Tamandua tetradactyla: one gene and its partner. The main gene of each other region encodes a partner of the protein of the gene in region 2 in a complex. Links are inferred from orthologs where the notes say so. Each region holds a gene or a part of one and is shown on either strand. Other genes may lie near its edges.

Region 1 (7,281 bases), on a different chromosome or scaffold from region 2:
AGCAATAAACTCTTTCTCTCTTTGAAACCCGGTGTCTCAGGAATTGGTTACTGAGTGCGTTGGGCAAAAGAATTCATGGCCTTTGTCTGGTAACATATCTTAGAGCAGCCAGAAGTAAAAGCCTAAAATTGTGGAATCGTAACTCATACCAAACTCTGAAATATGTTCTACAACAAATTGTTGTGCTATGCTTTGAAATTTATTGCTTTTTTTGTATATATGTTATTTTTCACAAAACAAGAAAAAAAAAGTAGATTGCGATGATAAAAAAAATCTTCCTTCTAGCCTCCTATGTTCTGGAGTAGCAAGAAGAAAAATTCTGAGAGGATGGTATGGTAGCCCATGACAAACTTTGGGATCTGTCCTTTGTTGAAGAGTGCTTTGAAAACTACTGCTTTTTTTCTTTCTCTGCTTTGTATATATGTTATATAATAAAAAAGGGTTAAAAAGATAGTCAGCAAAACATTTACTGAGAAGGACTACAGATATGAGGTCATCATATACTTACAGAATGTGGTGGAGAAAGAAGCAAAAAAAAAAAAAGACTAAGAAAAAGAAGCTTGGATTTTGTATTTTACCAACAGTGTAAAATTATCCAGTATTAAGGAGAATTAATGGTTATGGGCACCATAAAAATTAACAGGTAGTCCTGGCTCTAGATTTAAAATGGAAACCCATATGCACAGGAAATAGGGGGAGACTGGAAGTCCTCTCCAGGGAGTGCTGGTTACAAAGCGGCTAACCAGCAGTCCCAGGGGGGAGCCATCCTTTCATCCAGGGTGGTGAATTAACAAGTGAAAAGAATCAACTAATGGGGCCTAAAGCTGTATCTTCCTAATGCTGCTGTAAGTTTTCATGATTATTTCTTAGACTCAAATAACTTGAAGAGTATGATGAACAACTTGTTGAAAAAATTTTTTTTGCTGGGGTAAATGCATAGGCCAGGAATTGAACCCGGGTCTACCGCATGGCAGGCGAGACTTCTATCACGAAAATACCCTTGCACCCTCTTATATGATTAGTTAGAAATGTATCTCCATGTCTCTAACGTTTGTATTGGCAATTCCCAATTTTTCAGTTTTGGACGTTTTCTATTACTTTCCCCAGTGAAAAGTTAGCTTCCCCTTGCCTACTCCCACCTAGCTCCACCACACACATACACCCTTCCTATCCTCCCAAAACAGTTAAACTGACATTTAGTTAGTCAATATTCAGCATTCACATACTTATGACTATGTAAACCCTGTTCACTATTCTGATTACTTTTCCTTTCCACATTTTTCCGTACTTTTTTACTTCCCTGGAGTTAATGCTTTTTTTCTTGTTTAGTTTTCTATGCACTTCTCACAATTACAATAAACAGCTTGTACTTCAATTCCTCACAACTTGACATTTAAAGATATAAGATTTATTCAAAATCTAGCTCGTTGCATCATTGTCCATAATAGTGAAAAACAGGAAGCAAATAAAATATCCATTAACAGGGAACTGGCTAAAAGCATTATAGTTCTTCCATATCATGAAATACTTTGCAGGTTTTAAAAAGAATAAGGATGACCAGCAAATATTGATACATGTGCCTGAGCCTTTTATTTTCTCTCCTTATATATGTTAAATTAATATTTTACAATAAGCACACACTGTTGTAATGAGAAAAAATGAAGGGAAATTTAAAAAGTAACCAGAAAAAGGTTATTAGAACCATATTTTATTTATAGTCATTCAAATGACCAGATTTAAAAAAAAAAATCATCTTACTGGGTTGCTGGAAGAAAGTTTGAATTTTTCCCCAGCAAATTAAAATAAGTACAGTGCAGACCATACTCTCAGAGGCGCTACAGAGACTCGGCTTTGGAAGGAAATTGTTTTACACTTATGAAGGAAAATATTCTCAGAAAATGAGTGGAAAGGGGTGACTGTAAAAGAAGCACTCACTTATCTTGAACCCAAAACTAAATTACAGGCATTAAAATCCTTCTATTTCATCCTAGAGAGGTGCAGGATGGAGCAGCATCTAAGGAGATAAGCCCAAGGAGGCGTGGTTCTGCCAGCAGCACATTCTGGAAAGGTCCCTTAACAATCAGTTTCTCGGCCAAGTCAGCATAAAACTGCTGGCCCCTTCAGCCCCTAGGGTGCTGGGATGCTCAACTACTAACCACTAACACGGTCCGCCCACATGGCTCCCACAGACATTTTCAGAACCGTTCCATAGGTTTAGCTCACGGAAAGGTCAGGCCAGAGACAGGCTGCTCCCCGACTGCAGTGGCCAGCTTGGGCTCGTGGGCTTTTTTGGAGAAACTGAATGAAACAACCTATCTACTCCCCAAGAAATTAAATACACGCTAAGGCCAACCAAGCTGGGTACACAAGTTCCATGGGTTCGCGACCCTCGAGGACCCCGGTTGGCCTCCCGAGGTCCGGGGTCCGTTCACCCGCCCTCTCCGCCCTCCTTCCCAGCCACGCACCGACACGAGCGGGACGCGCAGGTGATCCCCCTGCAGCTGGTTGAAGGCGGGGAACGTGCTCCAGGCGAGGAACCCACCGTGCTCGGGTCCCAGTAGGGCCACCAGCAGTACCTGGTGCTGGAAGCGCACGGTCGGCTGCTCCTCATAGCTGCTCCGCTTCAGCCAAAACCCTGAGGAGGTAGAGAGGGAGGGAGGGCGGTGGGGAAGAGGTCAGGGCGGCCGGCCCGGGCGCAGCGGGCCGCGGGGAGCTGTGTGCGCTCCGGCCGGGGACAGGCTCACCGTGGCTCCGGAAGGCCACCAGTAGCGGCGGGATGTACGTGAGCACGGCTGCCACCAGCAGGAACAAGGCGGCCTTGGAGCAGAGGCCCGCGCGGTAGCGGCGCTCCACTGGGTGAGAGAAGAGCTCGTAGAGCGCCATGGGCGCCGCGTGTTGTCGGGCCGCACTCTAGGGACTGCGGGGCTAGTCTAGGGGGCCGACCAAGTTTGGCTTCTCCCGGTTGCCATAGCCTAAGTCTCTATGGCAACAGACGGCGCAAGAGGAGCCAATAGCAAAGTCGCAAGGCTTTGGTGGGGGTGGGACTAAAAGGGGTGGTGTCAGTTGGTGGAGGATCCGCTTAGGTTTACGCTGTGTGTGGGTTTCCCTGAAGGCCACGTGGGAACGAGGCTTTCTGAAGCAGAATCGTAGCCACCGTCTGTATTAACGTTGATGTGAAATGAGATTTCTATAAAGGTTGACAAAGCTAAAACCTGCTTATGCGTCATCTGTTAACTCCCCATGTGGTTCATACTTTACTTCAAACAGACACAGCACACCTTATTTGGAGGAAAACACACCTTATTTGGAGGAAAATAAATGTGGCCGAGATTCTGGACCTGGTCTTGGGCTAAGACCAAAGCCAGGTTCCTTGCCTCCGACGGATAGAGGGTAATTACTACATAGTACTCATGATATACTTGACCTCTTTGCAGATAGTGGGTACAAGCTTGGCTAGCGGTTTTAGGGAAAGCTGTAGCCCTACCCCAAAATAGCATTGGCTTACCCCTTAATGGAATGCTACGCATACACGCACACATACACACACTAGTATTTTGGACATAGCAGAAGAATTTTTTTTTTTACCATGGTTTACACCCAAGTTCATTAAAGAGTCCTGAAGGAGCACATCGTAGTATCAAGAGATAATGTGACGGGGTGGGGGGTATGGTATGTATGAATTTTTTTCTGTTTTCTTTTATTTCTTTTTCTGAATAGATGCAAATGTTCCAAGAAATGATCGTGATGATGAATATGCAACTATGTGATGATATTGTGAATTACTGTTTATATATGTAGAACAAAATGATTATATATATATATATATATTGGGTAGATGGAAATATGAGTGGTCAATGAGAGGGAGGGGTAAGGGGTATGGTATGTATGAGTTTTTCTTTTTTCTTTTCATTTCTTTTTCTGGAGCGATGAAAATGTTCTAAGAAATGATCATGGTGATGAATATACAAGTATGTGCTGATATTGTGAGCCACTGATTGTATACCATATATGGAATGTTCATATGTTAAGAATGTTTGTTTGTATGTTGTTTTGTCAGTAAAAATATTTAAAAAAGAAAGAGAGAGAGATAATGTGAAATTTGTGCTGAGTGGAGTCCGGTAGCTGGTGCCCCTAATTTGAAGGCAACCTAGAAGTAGCTACTAGATGAACAGCTGCGATTCAAACATACAGAGATCAAGAGCTGCCCATTCTGGAGAACTATCCTCAGGGTCCTTACAAGGGTCCAAGATGACATTGTCCTCAACCATAAAATATGACTTTGACATAGTCCAGTACTCTCATTCTTGCTTTTAAAGCTTTTCTGGGGTGGCAACATTGCTTTTAACTTCAGCAATTTTTGTGCTCAAGTCTATGGTTTGATTCTTAAAAATTATACTGTGTACATTTTAAGTGGATGATTTTCATTTACTCAAGTAGCTATTAAAATAAGATTTTTCTAGAACAGATGCCAGATAGTGCCTCCTGAGTGTGGCCCTGTTACTGGACAAAGGCCGTGGATTCTTTTGCCCGACGCGCTCAATAACCAATTCCTGAGACACCAGGGTTTCAAAGAGAGATAGCGTTTATTATGAGGCATGTAGTACAAGAATAGATGGCTTAGCTGTCCCAAATCTGTTTCCCTGAACTGCAGTAATTCTGATAGTTTTATTAGAGAAAAGATGGGCACGGTTTAGAATAATGAGCACAATGGCCCCAGATGATGTAATTAGAGGTGATCTAATTATTGAGCTTGTGCAGATCGATTACATGCTTAGTTACAGAACGTGTGTAAGAAAATGATGGAGAGGTATAGGTGTCTCACAGGTTAAAGTCTAAGCTACTGCACATGTCAGGCAGACCCGCTTTTGTTAGATCCAGTCTCTTTTATCAAGATAACTTTAGATTTGGGGTGGGTTAGTTCTGGTCCAGACCCAAGATACTTCATTAATAAATATTAGGGGCTGTCTTTAGTTATTACAAGACTCTAAAGTTGAAAAACTGGATAACTTGGTAAAATGAAGATCAGTCACAGGGTTTTTACAATCACAGAGAAGATAAGGGCTATACAATCATTACCAGGGATCAGGACAGTTCAGAGATTTCAGGTATTTCCCTCTGTCCAATATGCCATAAAGGAAAAAGGAATATTTATATAATGATTCAGTAATCAAAGTCATCACTTAAATCCTGGTTTCTTGGTTACAGTCCTCTTTGGAGGAAAGAGGCTTTGAAGGACTGCTGAAGGAAACATACTGTAGCTAGTTTCAATTTAGTTACTGCTGAAATAGAAGCAGCTGACTGCTAAGAATGTAGGTGCATTGAGTGTTTCAGCTTCTGTGAGGTGCATGAACTTTACACAAGTATTTATTATGGGAAAAGACATAAAAAAAAAAGTAGGTAGGGAGAGAGGACAGAAAGACACTGCACATCAATGAAACCATCAGGAGGCAGGACCATGAGTTGGTGAATGGTGGATAACTCCTTTCCCTGAGAAATATACTGAGTTCTCATGTGCAAGGTGATAGATACATGCCTGGGACCAGAACATAATTACCAACTCTGTAAAGGGAAGCAAGAGTCTGGGTCCAATTTCTAACTCCTCTGCTGATTCACACATTATGAGAAGGTGAACAACCATCTTCACTCCTTGGGGGTTAATTCTATCCTTAAAATAGATATTTTTCCCTTTATTTTCACTCACCCTCTAGCTCTCACCTAGTTCCATAGCTTTAAATACTTCTCCCCTGAATCTGAGACTAATAGATCTATTTACCAATTTCACATCTTCATTTGGATGTCTTTTGGATCTGTTTCTTGGGCATCTTTTGCTTAATATATCCAAAACCAAACTCTTGACCCCACTTCAACAACACTGGCTCCACCCTATTTCAGCAAATGGCAATTCAATTCTTCCAACAACCTCGACTTTGACTTCTAATACACACCCATATCCAATCTGATAAAAGCAATACGTTTCATACAATTTAGGATCTTAAAGCATTATTAAGTAATTCTTAAACTGGGCAGGATTCCATTCAGAAAGTAGAAGGAAGCGCCATTAAAGGGGTGAAAAAGAGAAGCTCAGACAGGGTGAAAGCAGAAGCAAGCAAGGAAATGTTCTGCTTGGCTGCTATTAGTTTCCATTTTACATAGAGGAGTCTTACAAAGTGGGGAGCAGATATAAATTGATAGTATGGTATGCTTGTCCATTCTGATAAGCTTTCTCTACTGGACCAAAGCAATCCTGTAGGGTGTATTCCATTTTCTCAGAATTGTTTTTGTCTTCTAGAAAAGCTTTTTGGGAAGGGGTCTTCTCCTGGCAATGCCCAAAGTGGGTGGTCATTTCATTTTACTTAAATGTATCGGCCAATTTTGTAAGCTCTAACCTTCAAAATATATCCAGTATATAATTACTTCCCACCACCACCATAGATACCATCCTGGTCTAAATCAACATCATCTTTCATGTGGATTATCACAACAGCTTCTTAACTTGTCCCCTTACTTCCACCTTCACCCCCACCCCCCACCATAATCTACTGTCTACACACAAGCAAGTCTGATCATTTAAAAAGGAAAGTCCTTTGCTCAAGTCCTCCACTAACTTCCCACCTCATTCTGAATAAAATTCAAAGTTCTGTCCATGGTATATGAGGCTCAAAACCTCTTTGACCTCCTCTTCTACCACTGTCCTCTTTGTTCCCTCAGTTCCAGACACACCAGCTCCTTCCTGTTCCCATAATATGCCACCACTCGATCCATAAAGCATTTTATCCCACTATCACTCTTTAGGTCCTTACCCTGCTTTACTTTTCTAAACAGCACCTCTATTTATATGACATATTTATTTATTGTCTTGTTCCACTAGAATTTTAGTAAACTCTATGAGAACAGGGATGCTATGTGTTTTGCTCACTGCTGTTTCCCCAGCACCTAGAACAGTGCTCCCGTATACAAAAACACCTGATTTCTATGTATGAAATTAAAAGAATTTTTCACGTTATTATCAACAAACAAACACTCACCTATTTTGGCTGCTCAGACATGCAGTCTTAAAATAACAAAAATAATTTTAAAATGAAGCTAGATTCAACAGCATCCATGGAGAATTTTAATTGTAGGAAATGATGAATGATAATATTCAAATACAGGCCATTCAGATGCATCAGAATCACAAGCACGGGGTAAGGGTCATGTGCCCAATTAAGTGAATATTCTTATTAAACATTCACCAGCTCATAAATAGATGATGACCCAGACTGGACTGCCCTGATGACTCTG
Region 2 (7,465 bases):
TCTACTGGGAAAGTTGCTTTGATTTCAGCAGGCAGATTTGCAAAGCGCCCCCCTTTGTGTTCTCTCCAACCTTTCTAGACTGTAGTTTATATTTGGTCTTTGGCTTATGCAGATTTTGCTTGTTTGTGTTTGGTCTGTTTTTGCCAAGGACACTGGTGCAGAGTGGCCACTCCAAAGGGGCTGCTGCGATAAAAATAACGTTTCTCTCTTAGCCCCTTGTTAGGGGTTGAATTGCATCCACCCAAAATGACAGATTTGAGTTCTAACCCTTGGTTCTGTCAATGCGATCTTATCTGGAAATGGGGTGGCCCAAGATATTATCGGTTAAGATGAGGCCAAACTGGATTAGGATGGCCCTCATTCAATATGACTGGAATCTTTATAAGAAGAGGAGAATTGGACACAGAGACAAGGGGAGAATGTCATGGGACAGCAGAGGCAGTGAATGCCATTCGGGTTCCCTGCAAGCCAGTGCCAGAAGCCAGGACAGAACCTGGAACAAATCGTTTCCTACAATCTTAGAAGGAGCAGGACCTCCCAATATCTTGGCTTGGGACTTCTAGCTTCCATAACTGTGAGACTGTCCATGGCTGTTGTTTTAAGCTACCCAGTGTGTGGCATTTTGCTACGACAGCTCTAGGAAGCTAAGACCCCTACTCAGGTATTGATTCCTGACCGGAGGCTTTTCAGATCCTGGTTTATGGAGCTGGGACCTGCAACTTTTACTCACCACCTTCCCACCCCAAAGCCAGGCAGACTGCATGCTGCCCTTCTCCCCAGCAGTTCATTAGTTAACACTCTTCCTCCCTCCACCCGGCAGATGTTCGTCTCCCTCGGCCCCTCCGACATGAGAAGGCACCCATAGGTCAGGTTGGGCGTCCCATCAGTGTCCTTCCTGGGTCAACTGTGACCTGTCCTTTCCAGCGCCTCATCCAGGTTTCATTGCCAAGCCCCTGAGAGACTGTGCCTCCGATGAGTCAGCTGGCTTGGGGCTTCATCAGCAACCTTAATTGCCTTTTTGTTTTTGTCCTCTTTCAAGCCTTCTCTGGCCCAGAGGAGAGGCTTGGTCTGGGTCTGGCGTCCAGCATTGCCGCCAGCCTCCATGGAGCCCCAAAATGGGGAGTCGGGTGCCCCAGACCCCAGCAGTCACGTCATGCCACACGGCGCATTTCCCAGCCACACCCGTCCCCAGGGTGCACTCAGGCGCCATGCAACCGCTGGCCATCCCACCCCCCCTGGCTCCGGCTGCCTGCAATGAGGTCATGGGGTGGGGACCTGGAGGACCCCCCCTCCAAATATGGTGGGGGCTTCCCCAGCTGCCCAGGGGGACATCGAGAGGACCAGGAAGGCGGAGATGGAAATAATTTTGTCAGTCCAACCCGCTCCTCCCTCTCTTGATGTTCTCTGGGCTGGCACATTAGAAGTGGAGGGGAAAAGGAAGAAAGAGAAGACAGGGAAAGGAGGACAATAAATTGGCTGTTACAGGTCCCTCACTTCTTCCACTAACAGCTGTGGATGGAGAAAGGCAACTAAGTCCACCACCTTGCAAGGAAGAGACCAAGCTGTCTTCTTGCTTTTCTGTACTAACATCCTTCTTTGACCTTGACCCCTCCCCTTCCACTGAGACCAGAAAAGGCAGAGGAAGCTACAATAATCCACTTTATGCAACTAGAATTTGACACAGAAGGAAATATTATTCAAAAAGCCGAAAAACAGCTAGTATGGCAAGGAAGGCACAGCCCTTCACGGCCCTTCCTGTCCCTCACTATTCCGGGAGCAGCGTCCCCCATGCTGTACCCCACCATTTTCACCCATGTCCCGTTGGGCTGGTTTGCTCATGTTTCTATACAAGCAGGTTTTGCAGATTGAAGTCACCTGGGATGTCCCAAACCTCTGAAGCGTAACAGAACCCTCAGGGTTTTTTAATGGCTGGCTGTGAGTACATACGTATGTGTGCGAGGAAGAATGAATGTGGGTCTCTGACAAAATCTCAGCCTGCTAGAAGAATTTGCAGATCTCTGCGGGTATCTTTTTTTTGCACCTGGGATTCTGCCTCCGAAAGATGGAAATGCTGATAACAGGGACTTTCTCAGGGAAATAGGAACAGCTTATGCATTTATACACTTCTTCACCTAAAACCACAAGATACCTCTCGTATAACCGATGCGTAGAAATACAAGAAAACGTCACAGCCTCTCTGCTCCCTACCTGTTTATGAGGCACAATTGATAATGCAAAACCACCTTATTCAGAGAGCAACATTTTCGGCCAATTGCAACGCGAACTAACAAACATTCAGGTGAACGTCCCCCACTCCCCCTTCCCAGATATATAATGTCTATAATATCCTCCAGTGTAGTTACAATGGAAAAGTCAAATGATTTATTTAACATTCAAAACCACTATCTGCAAAGCAAGTTTATAAGAAGTGACAGTAACCGTGCTTAAGAGAATTTTTGGAATGATATTAAAATCTTCCATGGGAAAGATTTCCGAGTTGATGCAAAAATCATAGCTCCGAAAGGTGAATTACATATAGTGGAATAAGAAAACATAAAGACTCTGAACTTGACAATAAATTAGCCCATCAGCACACAGGCAAGTGTTGGGTTTATACGGGATAGAGATTTTGAGGAACTCCTGCCCCTATTTTCTAAGAGAAATGTCATTTTTTTCATATAGCTAAAAATATTTCACAAAAGTTCATGCATCAAGCAGAATAGAAAGTAGGAGAAATACTACTGCTGAGGCTTTTCAACTTCTGATTTATCATTTGTTGACATACTTTCTACAAGTTCCTCATTTCCTTACAAGAAGCTGTCTTAAGTTCTTCCAGTAAATGTATTTGACGAAGGCCAAACAGGAGGAAAAAAGAGAAAAATGTAGCGAAAATGGTAGCTTACCTTTTCTAGGCATTCCTGATGTCAAACTTTCCTCCAAAACATGAGGCTTTCTTGTTTTGGCTGTCCCATGAATTTAGAAACCATTAAAAAATTTAAAGCAAAAATATGTGTTTATTATTTGAAGCTGCTTCAAAACAATGCAAAAATAACTTGGTGAAAAATAAAGCACTCGTCTGAGCATGAGAATGCTTTTGAAGCTTGGAGCTCATGCTGTTGTACGAAGTTTTGCAACTGTCTTTCTCAGTTTAAACAACCTCCCACTCCTTCTCCCAGGCACTTGCCAACTTCTATAATTTAAAGCAACTGCGATCCTTCCCATAATACTCACATTTCAAAGAGCTTAATATATACACTAGTTAGGAATGAGTTAGGGTGGGTAACATTCTGCAAACCACAGACTTAGGCAAATCAAAAGCAAGGGTCTCAGGTATCTAAACGGTTCTTTTTCTCTCTTTTGTTCATTGCTCTTCTCACCATATGACATCAAGTTACTTTTACTTTTTAAGGTGAGGCCTTAAAATCAAACAGTATCATATGTATGCTATTGAAGTCAAGTTATCAAATCAAATGTGATTGTTATATATTTAGCATATTAAATTTTAACCCCATGGGTAACCAACCACGAGGAAAATATATAAAAAATATGCCCTAGACACAAGAAGGGACTTGATACCATACAATGTAAAAAATAATAATAATGAATATGAAACTAGGCATTAATGGAAAATGGAGGGACAAACAAAGTATTAGACTTACAAAGACAAAATAGTAAAATGACAGAGGAAAGACCTGCCTTATCATAGTGACTTTAAATATAAATGGATTAAACTCTCCATTCAAAAGGCAGAGATTGGCAGAATGGATAAGTGCCGGTTTGAAAAGACATAATTAAGTAAGAAAACAAAAACATTTAAAAATATATGCACCTAAGAGCAGAGCCTCAAAATATATGAAGTTAATTCTAACAGATTTGAAGGGAGAAATGTGGTTATAATAACCGGAAACATTAATACACTACTTTCAATAATGGAGAGAACATCTAGATAGGTTGTCAGTAAGGAAATACAAGACTTGAATGATACTCTAAACCAACTCTACTTAAGAGACATATGTAGAACACATCCAACAGCAGCAGGACACACAGTCTTCTTAAGTGCTCATGGATCATTCTCCAGGACCAACCTTATCTTAGAGAGCAAAACAAGTGTCAATAAATACAAAAAAATATTGAAATCATCATTGCATCATCTTTTACCACACAGTGAAATGAAGCTAGAAATCATAACAGAGGGGGAGAAATGGAAAATAAAAAAAACACGTGGAAATGTTTTGAGGCAAATGAAAATAAAATACTACATACCAAAACTTAGGGGATGCAGCAAAGGCAGTGCTGAGAGGGAAATTTATAGTTCTAAATGCTTCTATTAAAAAAGAAGGATGATTGCAAAGTAGAGGCCCAACTTCAAAACTGGAAGCACTAGGAAAAGAAGAGCAAACCCAAAGTGTGCTGAAGGAAGGAAATAATAAAGATTAGAGCAGAGACAAATGAAACAGAAAACTGAAAAAAACAGAATCATCAAAACCAAAAGTTGGTTCTTTGAAAAGATAAATAAAATTGACAAACCTTTAGGTAGAATGGTGAAGAAAAATAGAGAGTGGGCACAAATAACTAAAATCAGAAATGATAAAAGGAGACACTGTGACCAATCCCACTGAAATTAGGACTATAAGAGGATACTATGAACAACAATACCCTGACACGTTAGATAACCTAGATGAAATGACAAATTGCTGGAAAAACACAAAATACCTACTTTGACTCAAAAAGAAATAGGAGATCTCTGGATGGGCCACGGTGGCTCAGCAGGCAGAGTTCTTGTCTGCCATGCTGGAGACCTGGGTTTGATTTCCGGCGCTTGCCCATGTTAAAAAAAAAAATGAATAAATGAAAAGTAAAAAAAAAGAAATAGAAGATCTCGAATACTAATAACTAGTAAAGATATTGAATCAGTCATCAAAAACCTCTGAACAAACAAAAGCCCAGGACCGGAAGTCTTCACTGGTGAGTTTTACCAAACATTCCAAGGATAATTAACACCAATCCTTCTCAAACTCTTTTAAAAAATTGAAGAAGAGGAACACTTCCTAACTCATTCTGTGAGCTAACAATACCATCATGCCAAAGTCAGATAAAGACACCACAAAAAAAGAAAATTACAGACCAATATTTCTTATGAATATAGATGCAAAAATCCTTAATAAAATACTAGCAAACCAAATCCAACAGCACACTGTAAGAATTATACACCATGATCAAGTGAGGATTTATCCCTGGTATGTAAAAGTGGTTCAACATAAGAAAATCAATTAATGTAATACACCACATTCACAGACTGAAATTAAAAAAGCATGCAGTCATCTCAGGTGAGGCAGAAAAGGCATTTGACAAAATCCAGTACCACTTATTAACACAAATACTTTAGAAAACTAAGAATAGAAGGAAACATCCTCAACATGATAAAAGACATGTATGAAAAAACACTTTTAACATTCTACTCAATGGTGAAAGCCTGAAAGCTTTCCCTTCAAGATCAGGAAGAAGAAAATTTAAAACTTTTGCATTTCAAAGAACTTTATCATAAGTGTAAAATGACAACCTACATAATGGAAGAAAATATTTGCAAATGACGTATTTGATTAGGGTTTAATAGCTGGAATATATAAAGAAATCCTTCAATTCAACAACAAAGAGACCAAAAAAAAAACACAACAATTTAAAAATGGGCAGGGCGGGCCATGGTGGTTTAGCGGGCAATCTTTGCCTGCCATGCTGGGGATCTGGGTTTGATCCCCGGTGCCTGCCCATGCAAAAATAAAGGGCAAAAGATTCACATAGACGTTTCTTCAAAGAAGATATACAAATAGCCAGAAAGCATATTTAAAAATTCTCATCATCACTAGCCATCAGGAGAATGCAATCACAACTGCAATAAGATACCATTTCATATCCACTAAAATTGCTATTATTAAAAAAATGGAAAATAATAAGTGTTGGAGAGGCTATCGACCAAAGAACGAATAAGAAAAATTTGTTATATACATGTAATGGAATATTATTCAACCGTAAAAAAAAGAATGAAGTTCAGATAAAGCCTTGACGTAGATGAAACTTGAAGACGTGCTGAGTAATATAAGCAAGGCACAAAAGGACAACTATTGTATGATCTTATTGATATGAAATGACTAGAAAAAGGGAATTCATAGGGTCAGAATCTAGAATATACATGACTAGGAGTGGGGTGGGGGTAGGGAACAGGATGTTGTCTTAAAATGTACAGAATTTCTATCTGAGGTAATGAAATAGTTAAGGTAAGGGATGGTGTTCATGGTAGCAGAACATTGTGACTGTAATTAACAGCATTGAATCATGTATCTGAATATGATTAAAGGGAGGCATTTTAGGTTGTATATATGTTACTAGAATGAAGTTAAAAAAAAATCCCTGGAACTTGACAACACAGTGAACTAGAATTAAACCATGGGTAATAGTTAATAGGACAGTTAAAAATGTGTTTTCATCAATTGTAGCAAACATTCCACACTTACCCAGGTGTCATATGGGAACCCTGTATTTCATGCATGATTTTTCTGCAACTCACAACTTCTCTAATAAAAAACTACCCAAATGAAACAAAAAACCAAATAACGTTACTGTTCTGGAGACAAAGCAGTACACAGGAAAGTTTATGCCATAATTTATGGAACAAAAGTAGAGAAATTGTACTTCAACCTCACTTTTGCTAGCAGAATTATTTCCATGCACTCAATTTTCCTTAATGTGTCTGTTTGAACATTTAAAATTATTGTGCATTGTACATTCATAAAGGGGAAAATACTTAAAATGTTTTCGTTTACCTTGATCTTATTGAATCTTCACCCTGAGTGTGAATCATAAACCCTAGAAGGGATATTTATTCCTTTTAATAAATCTCTTGACCTTTAGTTTCACCAGTGTTACAAAATTTCCTATTTCTACTACCCTTCACAACTATCATTAAACTTATACACACACATACATGAGGAGTGAATTCAAATCAGAAACAAACTGTGTTCAACTGAAGATGGGGATTTTAAAAATATTTATAATATATCTCAAAACAGATCTTAGTGTGTGATATAGAGTAAGTGCTCAATAAACCTTTACTGAATAGACAAAGTATTGTGTATATTCAGAACAATAAACAGTTTTGACATTTTTGGTTTATATGTATATGTGTATATATATATTCCCCTTAGAGATGGTTAACATACCAAAGCTTATGCAGAAGAGTAAACTTAGGAGAATGTATACCTTTCCCAGAGTGGCTGGATTGTTTTGATATAATAATAATTTATCTTACAGGAATATAGAAACCATTAGTCAAATAAATAAACCTTTCAGGGAAAAATAGAAATGCTGACACAGGCACAATCTATTAAGTTTGCCCAGTGTGTAAACTTATGCAAACAATTTTCATGACAAATCCTCATTCATTATTCAAAAACTATAGATCATTTTACAT

Evidence for each region.
Region 1: CC2D2A (region 2) and TMEM231 share a complex: the UniProt entries of both Homo sapiens proteins name them as parts of the tectonic-like complex. The link is inferred for Tamandua tetradactyla from reciprocal best matches to the Homo sapiens genes CC2D2A and TMEM231.

Annotation. Positions count from the first base shown.
Region 1 is NC_135342.1:70,244,909-70,252,189, forward strand, and holds the start of TMEM231 (transmembrane protein 231), read right to left. Parts: upstream 3,001-7,281; 5' UTR 2,884-3,000; coding exon 2,745-2,883; intron 2,636-2,744; coding exon 2,466-2,635; intron 1-2,465. UniProt on the Homo sapiens protein: Transmembrane component of the tectonic-like complex, a complex localized at the transition zone of primary cilia and acting as a barrier that prevents diffusion of transmembrane proteins between the cilia and plasma membranes.
Region 2 is NC_135345.1:14,654,410-14,661,874, reverse strand, and holds the start of CC2D2A (coiled-coil and C2 domain-containing protein 2A), read right to left. Parts: upstream 3,015-7,465; 5' UTR 2,917-3,014; coding exon of another isoform or gene 2,904-2,916; intron 1-2,903. UniProt on the Homo sapiens protein: Component of the tectonic-like complex, a complex localized at the transition zone of primary cilia and acting as a barrier that prevents diffusion of transmembrane proteins between the cilia and plasma membranes.